Linked DNA regions of Daphnia pulex. The protein of the gene in region 1 binds, or shares a complex with, the protein of each later gene. Links are inferred from orthologs where the notes say so. Each region holds a gene or a part of one and is shown on either strand. Other genes may lie near its edges. The genes, in order: HEAT repeat-containing protein 3-like, ribosome production factor 2 homolog and 60S ribosomal protein L11.

The links.
Region 2: HEAT repeat-containing protein 3-like (region 1) and ribosome production factor 2 homolog share a complex: the UniProt entries of both Homo sapiens proteins name them as parts of the hexameric 5S RNP precursor complex. The link is inferred for Daphnia pulex from reciprocal best matches to the Homo sapiens genes HEATR3 and RPF2.
Region 3: HEAT repeat-containing protein 3-like (region 1) and 60S ribosomal protein L11 share a complex: the UniProt entries of both Homo sapiens proteins name them as parts of the hexameric 5S RNP precursor complex. The link is inferred for Daphnia pulex from reciprocal best matches to the Homo sapiens genes HEATR3 and RPL11.

The regions. Positions count from the first base shown.
Region 1 is NC_060021.1:11,401,772-11,405,437, forward strand, and holds HEAT repeat-containing protein 3-like, read left to right. Parts: upstream 1-783; 5' UTR 784-944; intron 945-1,004; 5' UTR 1,005-1,005; coding exon 1,006-1,203; intron 1,204-1,268; coding exon 1,269-1,344; intron 1,345-1,402; coding exon 1,403-1,930; intron 1,931-1,992; coding exon 1,993-2,100; intron 2,101-2,161; coding exon 2,162-2,500; intron 2,501-2,579; coding exon 2,580-3,271; 3' UTR 3,272-3,321; downstream 3,322-3,666. Other genes in the region: glycine-rich protein 5-like, read left to right, coding at 1-289; serine/threonine-protein kinase 16-like, read right to left, coding at 3,375-3,620. UniProt on the Homo sapiens protein: Plays a role in ribosome biogenesis and in nuclear import of the 60S ribosomal protein L5/large ribosomal subunit protein uL18 (RPL5). Required for proper erythrocyte maturation.
Region 2 is NC_060026.1:16,289,074-16,292,204, forward strand, and holds ribosome production factor 2 homolog, read left to right. Parts: upstream 1-1,149; 5' UTR 1,150-1,292; coding exon 1,293-1,309; intron 1,310-1,368; coding exon 1,369-1,501; intron 1,502-1,566; coding exon 1,567-1,726; intron 1,727-1,792; coding exon 1,793-2,072; intron 2,073-2,132; coding exon 2,133-2,277; intron 2,278-2,341; coding exon 2,342-2,500; 3' UTR 2,501-2,535; downstream 2,536-3,131. Other genes in the region: spermatogenesis-associated protein 5-like protein 1, read right to left, coding at 1-906. UniProt on the Homo sapiens protein: Involved in ribosomal large subunit assembly. May regulate the localization of the 5S RNP/5S ribonucleoprotein particle to the nucleolus.
Region 3 is NC_060026.1:15,189,424-15,193,179, reverse strand, and holds 60S ribosomal protein L11, read right to left. Parts: upstream 2,306-3,756; 5' UTR 1,865-2,305; coding exon 1,850-1,864; intron 1,634-1,849; coding exon 1,520-1,633; intron 1,295-1,519; coding exon 997-1,294; intron 783-996; coding exon 688-782; intron 466-687; coding exon 430-465; 3' UTR 379-429; downstream 1-378. Other genes in the region: uncharacterized protein LOC124205486, read left to right, coding at 2,516-2,592, 2,670-2,799, 2,870-3,074, 3,163-3,395; uncharacterized protein LOC124205485, read left to right, coding at 3,464-3,756.

The DNA.
Region 1 (3,666 bases):
TGGAGCGTCCGGAGGCGGTCATTCCAGCGGCGGATACGGTGGGGCTTCCGGAGGCGGTCATTCCAGCGGCGGATATGGTGGGGCTTCCGGAGGCGGCCATTCCAGCGGCGGATATGGTGGGGCTTCCGGAGGCGGTCATTCCAGCGGCGGATACGGTGGGGCTTCCGGAGGCGGCCATTCCAGCGGGGGATACGGTGGGGTGTCAGAAGCTGGATATGCTTCTGCTCCATCTTTCCAGCCGCCTCCAGTTTCCTCTTATGGTCCTCCTCCTCCTCAAGGAGGTTATTAACTCCGCCGTTTTCCCTTTACAAATCCTGAATAATCTCAGAATATTTGTCATCCATTGCTTGAATAATTTCATCGGTCCTCATATATATTTCTTAAACTATTTTCACTATCGTCCTTGTCTTTACAGATTTTGAGAAGTATTCTTCACTACCGTTTTCTCAAGTGTTCCTAATAAACCAACTTTAATATTTACTATAATTCCGAATAAACATTTCTGTGTATAGTAGACTTGATAGTATTTTTTAGAGAAGTACAGAGTAACCATTAATTATCACATTCAAGGCTTTTTCAATAGGACAAATGAAAAAACGAACATCAACAATAGCTTTTTTCTGAATTCACTTGATAGTCTTTTTCGTCTTGTATTCTGCTCTCTTTTTACTTTACGATAGGACCCTTTATTAGTTTACTGAAACGGACGAATTTCGGTATTTCTTTATACAGTAAAAGAAAAAGTAAAAGTGCAAAAGTGCCATCTGGGGATAGAAGTAAACATTTCTTTTTTCGTCTGCTTATCAAACATGTGCTCTGACATGTTGAAAGGTTCTTGTGCAAGTCTTGTGCGGGAGATCGTTTCTGGTTTTTCGTTATCATAGTTACTTGTACGAAACTTGGATAACATAATTTTTCTCCATATTATTAATTTTGTCAGCTAGGTAAGTGAAAAATTTATTTCCATTTATTTGGATAAAAAATTAACCTCAACATACCGGTAGGATGGGGAAATCCAAATCGAACCGACATAATAAGCAAGTTCGTGATAATCCCACTGGACTCGCTAATAAATCTGACTCTGAAGAAATTGTGATGGATTGTGCTGTCAAGAGTCCTTATACTGGAACTGCCCTCTCGTCAGAAACCCTAAAGTCTTTTTCAAGACAGTTACAAAGTTCATCAGCAGAAGAGCGGGACTGTGTATAATACCTTTTATTCTCCCTCCCTCTTAATCATCTTCTGTAACTATGTTTTTCTTTGTTTAGGCTTGCCATGCATTAGCAGGATTGATAAGAAATAATGAGGATTCATGTGCAGCATTACAAGAAGGACTAATAAAAGGTATGCATCGTCAATTTATAAGAAAATTAGAATCAAAACGATTTACGCTTTTATTTAGTTCTTGGTCCTCTATTGCTGGATACAAGTGCCTCTGTTTGTCATTCTACTGCTTCAGCACTTCATACGATAATTTCAAAAGGAGGAGATCAAGCGATCAAGCTTGCCATTGAACACGACATTTTAACACCACTGATTGCTTTATTAAAGAGAATCCCACCACAGTGGAAACCTCATAAAGCACCTGGCAACAAAATTGATACTTCTACAGCCACCTTTCTAGAAACAGTTGCAACATTAAATCTTCTCTCCGAAAGCAGCACTCTAGCTGTTGACCGGATACATCGCGAAAACATAGTTTCCATGTTAATTTCGTATTTGGACGTAAATGCGTATGGCTTAGATGTTGTTTCGTCGGTTGTCCAGTTCCTCAGCACAGTAACTGAAGAACAGGGTGATACTGACTACACAGAAGTTTTGAAAAAAGAGATTATTTCGAAATTCCTCAATGTGAAAGAATCTAGCCCTTTATTGAAAACTCTATCACTTATGATACTTCTTAACTTGAACCATCAGCAGTTGAATTCAGGTAAATTCTGTGCTGATAAAATGTGTCTAGATTTGTATTAACAATTTTTCAAATTAAATCAGAATTGGGACAGTCAACTCAAGATATTATAAATATCCTGACTTCTTCTCTTTGCCTTGATCAAAGGAAGGCAGCGTCTTCAGTGGTCGATCATTTACCGACAACTCAAGGTTTGTTTCTATATTAATGCTAATCATATTTCGGCTTTTCAGTATCCTAATTTTGTTATAGATGAAAACGGTGGGGATGCAATGGAAGAAGATTCTTTGGCCTCTAAATTATACGATTCTGTCGAAGCTGCCGAAGAATTAATCTCTGCTCAAATAAAATCTCTGGAAATATTAACCAATATTTGTTGTTCTGGAGACGATGGCGACTCGGATGAATTCTACGAAGATGAATCCATTAGCGATGAATCACTGGGTAATGAAGGATTTCAAGAAAGCCTTATAGACTTGAATCCCGAGTTGAAGAAAGCTTTCATCGATGCGCGACTATTTCAACTGGTTATTGAAAAAGCAAAATTACCGGCAACGAATATAATTGAAGCTTTAAATCAGCACCCAACAGGTTAGTATTTAACTTGATTCAACTCTCATTCTGTAGTGGAAGGTAAATTGAAATAATCTTGTCTTGTTTTGGATTTCAGGAAAATCTCTTATTAAACGTTACGAAGCGCTCCAATGTATGGGGTTCTTGTGTTTAAGTAACATGGTGATGGTTTTCGAAGTTGACGATATTGGTGGCAGCAAGGATTTATTCGACATTTGGTGTGGCTTAGCAGTCGTGGCTTTCCAGGGTAGTAAGTCGGAACAGATGCTGGGAAGTGCAACTGCTTCTATGCGTGCCATAATTCGAAAATTGTCGTATCATAAAGACATAGTCAACCTTTTGAAGTTAGAAGACATCACTCTCCTCTGTCAGAGAGTTGTAGACTGTTCTCATCCTCAGTCAAAAGTGAATTTGCTTCAGATACTCGGCACACTTGGCTCAATGGCAGCTGGAGTTGAACCACCCATGTTGGAACCTCGATCTTCGATTGTTCGCGGAATCGGTCAAATCCTTCTCGACACTGCTTGCCTTTCTCCTGACTTGTGGATTACAGCTGAAGCTATGGATGCCTTATTTGATGTTTTCAAGGAGGATCACACAGACCCAATTGTTGGAGATGTTCAACTGGTGGAGCGTTTAAGAACATTGGCACCCACTTTCAAGCATCGTGTCCATTCACAACGTCGTAGCCTACCGGCGGATCACCTCCCAGTTGTTATGACTGCTAGAGACAATCTACTCCGCTTCATCAAGTATAAGACAAAGCAACGATCGTTAGCTAATCGATAATGTAATGTATGAATTGTTGAAGCTTTAACAAAAGTTGCTATTGGACTGTTCTTCATTTTTGGCATTTATTATATTGATTTGTTATTGGTTAGAGTTTTATAGCCTACAACAACCCCTTGAGAGCTTCTATTGAACTGAGAACATCAGCAATGAAAGGTCTTTCTTTGGGATCAACAACAAGCAAAGTGGAAATTAAGTCGTTTACCGACGAATTGACTCCTGGGGAAGTGGAATTTGGAAAATGATTCATTCCACTGGAGGCAGCCAAAGCAACGCTATCTCCTCGTTCAAATACCTCATCAAAAGGCGATTTATAGTAGCAGAGGGCATATAGCAGGCACCCCAAAGACTAAAAAAAAGTCACAATTTATGGAAAAAACTTAACTTTTAAAATA
Region 2 (3,131 bases), on another chromosome or scaffold:
TGTGTGGGTTTGACCACCTCGTTTAGGGCAAATGGAATCCACGCCGTCCAGAAATAGAACTGTGGGACTCGACACGCTTAAAGTTTCCTTGAAAATGTTTCTCAATTTGTCTTCGCTGCCTCCTGGATCGGATGACGAGAGATCCGAGCAAGTGACTGGGATGAGAAACAGGCCGTTTTCAGCGCAGAGTTGCTGGACGATTGAACTTTTCCCGCAGCCCGGTGGACCGTGTAAAAGAATTCCTCTAGGCGCGCAAAGTTGAGCAAACACTTGGGGATGCTGTAGAGGATACACCACTAGTTCTTTCAATTTGTTGTAGGCTTCATCTACTCCTCCCATTCTTGTCGTTTGGACTCGTTCTTGAATTTTCATCCATTTCTCTGTGATGATGTTTTCAATCTTGACTTGGGTTTTGGCAGACACTGTCAGAGCTCCACCGTCAGGTTTCGTTTCCAGGACCAAAATTTTCTCTACATTCCCTGCGGAAAAGTATTTGCCAACAGTGATTGACGAAAGCGGGGTGATGATCTTGTTTGAAAGAAGACTCTTGATCAACAGGGGCAACTTGCATTGTTTCAAATGGTTGACACTTTGAAAACTATCAGTTACGATAGTTACAGTTATACTTGTTGCCGGTTTCAGTGACAATTTTGAAACACTGAAATCCCTCGTCACTACTGGATGAGTGATGAGAAACTTTCTACGTTCACTGTAAATTTGAACGGTATTTTCAACAACTGCATCATTTTTCAAATCAGTCCTAGGGAAGAGCTTGCAAATGAAGGTTCCCTTGTTTGTCGTCACTTTCACTGGGCATCCAACTTGACAATTTAAAGTTACAAATTCCGCAACAGGAAGACAGCACTTTTGACTGCCAATCTCTGAACCAATAACGACAGTATTCATTTTTACTCTTGATTTTTGCAGATATTTTCGTTTCGGGGCATGCTGTCACTGTTATTTTGATTTGAGATACGGCGTTGCCAAAGACGCTAAACAAGATGAAAAATTAAAGAAAAATTTTACAAATGTCATTAGTTATTTGATTCAAGTTCAATTTTATTTTATCCCTTTTTTTCTGTACCATTTCAGAGAAATTGTAGCATTTTTTACAAAATTTAATTTCGCCATGTTGCAATTTGAGACTCAAGTTCTAGCAGACGAATTGTTACACTCAAACTCAAACCGCGTGTTGGTTGGGAGACGTGTCTGTCTAAAATCCTAACAAGTTATCCAAACTTGTTAAATATTACTTTGTGTGACATTTCGTACCTTAATATACTGTTAACAGAATGAGCGTCAGAATTACGTAAGTGAAGAAATTACAAGTATTTTTTCGTAAAATTGATTATCATCTGTTAATTGCAGGAAACCCAAGACCCACCGCGGTAAGCGGATGCTGGCAAAACGAGAGCCAAAAATCGTTGAATTGGCTAAACAAGCTTTGATGCTTCGTGGTTCTACTGCCAGCGTCACATCCCTTCAATTTGTCAAAGATTTGGTACTATTGCTACAAGCTTATAAGCTTTTGGGTTGTATGTTTTCTAACATTTCGTTCTACTTCAGTATGCCATCAAACGGATGCAATCAACATACTTTGGTCAGAAACACCCTTACAATCCATTTGAAGATGTTAAACCGATAGAAGAACTGACTCAGAAATATGACCATTCTTTATTTGCATTCTGCTCAGACAACAAAAAGAGGCCCAACAATGTTATTCTGGGTACAATTTGATCTCTAAATTTTGTTTGAATTTATGGCCTAAACTAAAAGTCATCTAAATTTTCAGGAAGAATGTTTGACCACCAGTTGCTCGACATGATTGAATTTGGTGTGGAACAGTTCAAATCCTTGACTGCAATTCGCAACGCCAAAGTGATGGATGGTAACAAGCCTTGCCTGATCTTCTCTGGTGATGTCTGGCACCAAAACGAAGAGTATTCCAAATGCAAATCTTTGCTCATCGACTTTTTCCGTGGAGAAGTAGTGGAACAAGTTCGTCTTGCTGGTTTCGAACATGCTCTTTCTTTCACGGCTGTTGACGGCAAGATTTTCCTCCGCAGTTACAAGTATTTTTCTATATTTTTCATTTCATTTTTGAGATTGTAATAATCAAGTTTTTATAAAAGGATTTTGATGACCAAAAGTGGAACTAAAACTCCTCATATTGAATTGGAAGAAATCGGACCTTCGGCCGACTTGGTCATCAGAAGAACCAAATTGGCCTCAGCTGATCTATTCAAACGGGCGTGTCGCACACCAAGCGCTGCCAAGGTAATTTTTCTATTGGCTACTTCCATTTCAAATTTACTGAATAGTATTATTTGCTTTTAAACAGCCCAAGAAAGTCAAGAACATGTCCAAGGACGTTTTCGGTTCGAAACTCGGCCGCATTCACATGCCACGTCAAGATTACAGAAAGTTGCAAGTTAAACGCGGAAGAGCTCTGCGGACTGAAAAGTCACCCAAAAAAGCATCAAAACTTTCCAAGAAGTGAACGGTTGAAATTAATAAAGACTTTGACAAACACGACTCGTATGTACTGTGCACGATTTAAATTATCAGGCTTATTAGGTACCTCCATTTAGTGTTTTTCTCTCCTGTGGACCTGTGGTTACTCTATTGGTAATATTATTTTAAGCATTTTTGAATTAACTTTAATTTTTCCAGTATCGATGGATTTGCTGGATCGGTTAGAATTTGAGAAAGAAAAGGAACTAAACAAATTTAACTGGGAATTGGTCGACTCCGCTTCTAGCACTTAAAGGCTTATGGTTTAGTGTTAAATGAATAATCACATCTTAGCTTTGCCAGAGGTATCACCACTATTTTGAATTAAAACTACAAGAATTTATCTCCCCACAAAAACTAGGTAAAATGGAAATGCCGAATTGTGTATTTTTAATTACTCGTCATTTCAATTTATTGACATATGCCTGTAATGTAATTATTTTGATCGGTAGTGGGAAAAGCAGCTACTTGCAATGTGGGAGTAATGGATTTCAAGCAGAAGCTTCGATGACGGTGTTGATGCCTTGCATGGTGGATGTCCAGGCTTGTTTGGCTTCCGGAGTGAAGGCGGAGCCGAGAGTGGCAGCCAAAAATACCAGCAACACGGTGGCCATGTT
Region 3 (3,756 bases), on another chromosome or scaffold:
TTATCGAAGTTTGTTGAATACTAAGAGCACGCTTAATCACGTCCGAATAAGTCGGCTGTCAGACGACACTACACAATTGCTAATGGTAAATAACCAGCCAGCTGCTCTATATGTAGATATTTTGATAGCGGCAACAATGTGTTGAATCGATTTATCTATCGATAATTCGTTGTCGATTTATTGTGTAAATTTTAATTTCGATATTAAAAACTTGCGAAAATTAATTAAACTTCAATTTCGGATGTATTTAGTGGTCATTCATAATCCCTTATAATTTATAACTAATGAACTTTTATCGAATATTATTTTTTAATGGAATTCCCTTTCATTAATAAACCATTGTAAAATGACACGCATAAAAGAAACAAAAATGGCAAATGGATTTCGCAAAACGGTGTATTTTGCAACAGAACGAAGTACACACAATGCTCATGCCTTCTTTGTGGGGAGGATGATACCGTCGTACTGTAAAATAAAGAAAGAATCGTCGTTAAACAAGCGGCTTCATTAAATTAAATATTTTGTAGGAGTATGCTTGAAATTCTGTGCTATCAATTCAGCCACATATTCCGATTTAACACATTCATAATCTAGCAACATTAACAGCGAGCCCTATCCTCAATCATTGTTAAGATAGCCCCAGCAATACATATTGCATATATTTTTGGACTATTATTATGATTATACCTTCTGCTGGAACCATTTCATGGCATCTTCGCGCTTCAACCGGTGCTGGAATCCAACTTTGCCGGTCTTGCGACGACGTTCGGCTACACTGAAGCCTAGAATCAAACAACAATTAATTAGACTAAATTGTCCTGAATATTACAAGACATTTATCTCTATTATTTAGTAACTAGCCCAGTAGTTGAAGTGAGCCGGAGTTGCAATAAATAGAATTACTATAGCACGTTTTGATTAATAATTCCCAAGAAATACTAATAACGTAAATCTAGGGACGATGCTTGTGCAGATGAAGTAGAAAGGGTGAAGTACCTGGGCGTCCCAAGACAACATAGAAGTCAAGGCCGTAGATACCAATGGAAGGGTCGTACTTGATACCAAGATCAATGTGTTCTTGAATACCAAAACCAAAGTTTCCAGTATCACTGAAGTTCTCTTTCCTTAACTCGTATTCCCTGACTTTCAATCCTCTTTCGAGGATCTCCTCAGCCTTGGCTCCACGAACAGTGCAGTGGACAGCAATCTTTTCATTACGACGGATACCGAACGAACGCACGGTATAACGAGCTTTGGAGAAAACTGGCTGTTGACCAGTTAACTGTTCCAACACCTAGAAATAAAGGAAATGGGTTTTAATGGAAGTTCCAATGACAAGAGTTTGAACGAAAAGGTTGTCTCCACAATTTAGTAACTAGCTCAGTAGTTAAAGTGAGCCAGAGTTGCAATAGATGGAATTAATGTATCACATTTTAAGTTTAAATTTCCCACGACATAATATTAACATACATCAAGGGACGATGCATGTGAATGTAAATCTTACTACTAGTCAACATACCTTGGCGGCCCTGGTCAATCTGTCACCAGATTCACCAACACAAATGTTCAGACAAAGTTTTCGGATACGCAATTCGCGCATCTGGTTCTTGGACTTGTCCCTCTTCACCTGCTCCTGAAATATCCGAAACGAAAAGAAACACGTTAGGTCTGAAAATGTTGAAAGTCTCTTGTTGCACCGGTAGAAAGATTATCACTGGCATCACATGTAAATATTTCAAAACTACTAGTTTTGAAGAGGAATATCGACTCGTAATAAATCGAATAATGAAACTGGAAGAAATTTCAATTCAAGACAGATGAAATACGATAATAATTTCAAGGAACTTACAGTGGTCGCCGTCATTTTGGAGCTATGCGTGAAAAACAAGAGAACAAGACCACTCTCAGGCAACGCAGCCTATGCTAAAGAAATGAAGTATAGCTCGAACGTTGCCAAGTAAACGGGCGAGGTTAGCATTTGATTAAACTTTATTGAAAAATGATTGAAATATTCAAAGCAAAATTCGGTTTTTTAGTTTATTGTGATGAAAGTGTAACTTTGTAGTATTTTTTATTGTTTAAACGTTAGTAAATCAGCATTGAAATGAAAACAAATCTAACGTAATCGATTGTTAAGTATCGATCTTTAGACTATTTTTCGAAGTATTTTTAAACTTGCTTAAACAATTAAGTAAATTTGAATTGATGTTTAATGTTATTATAGTTTGAAGGATAAATGTCGTGTCTGATTTTAAAAAATCGTGTCACTGCACAACACGGAAAATTGCAATTCCCCGTGCAATTATTTGCACACTCTATTGAAAACCGCAAGTGAACTTGAGCAAACAATAATCAGCTCACAACAATACTTCCACTGCGTCCAAGAAAATATGCCCAGTACTAAAAACAAAGCCAAATTTTATTTACCTAACAGGGGAAAAATAACGCAAGCATTGATTTATTTCGTCCGGTTGTTGATTCGATGGCCACGTAGTGACGGGCAAAGTAAGAAAACATGGAAACAGTTTCGCGTGAACAAACGACGGAAAAGGCAAACAAAGACGCAACGCAAATGCAGGATCCCAGTACAAGGTACATATATATTCGAATTACGACCTTTCTTCTTCAATTTCAGCCGTTTGTGTACTTACAAATGTTGTCGAAATCAGGCTGAGCGACATCATAAAACAGTGCACCAATTCAACTGACCATGTCAAATTGGTGGGCGAGAAAGGGGAGGCGGCCTTGGCTACCAGTCACGACGTCCTGAAACGCTTGAAAGACGATGGCTGCGATTTGGTAGATTGAAATTCTCAGCTTTTTTGGTAATTGGATTTCATACACATTTCTAATTATATTGATTTACAAGATCGGAAGTGTCGAATCGAGTTCGGCGGTTCGCACTGGACGTCAACTGGACCAGCGACAGGCCACCGAGACGGAATGTACGTCATTATCCGAAGCTTGTTCCACTCACGTTAATGCCGTCGACATTACATTGCAGTCGACATGGACGGAGGCTTTCAAAAACACGGCCCCTCATCAATTAACAGCGGACATACAAGAAATTCAAGGTATTTCACACCTTCGTGTAACTCTCTAATTTTTAATTGCAGCTCACGAAATACAAAAAGACAAAATGGTTTATAACTAAACACCCAGGGATGAGCGACGACGTGCTAAACACCCAGCAGGTACTGATTGACCGATTACGCGAAGAGGTGAATCAAGCCGACAAAATTATCCAGCTGGAAATTGAGCGCCAGACGGAAGATCTCGGCGTGATGCGCAAAAGGATGAAGGATCATTTGGATTTCACCCGGACCACCCAGCGCTGTCAACTGGGAGAGATTGACGCAAGTTATTTAATTCTTTTTTCCATCAGACAAAATTAAATTTAAATATTTTACAGTCAGCTTTTGGCAAAGACTACAATTTGTTGCTGGAAGATCACTCGAAATTGATGGATAAAATGCTGTCCGATTGGTCGACATCGGAGAACGAAATCATTCACGAACTCAACGACATCGGAAGCCATTGGGTGGACGATTTGGACGAGACGGACGCGTACTATTACAGCGAATGCAGCCGAACGCGCCACCGTCTAACGGCGGACATCCAGTTGATTGAGCAAGAACTGGAGAAGCTCAAAGTCGATTTCACTCTCAACAACGAAGTGCTGGATTACAATTGCCGGGTGCTGAAACTCCGCGAAGAGGAGCGGGCCGGTCTGATCGTCGGCAACAAACGCAAAAT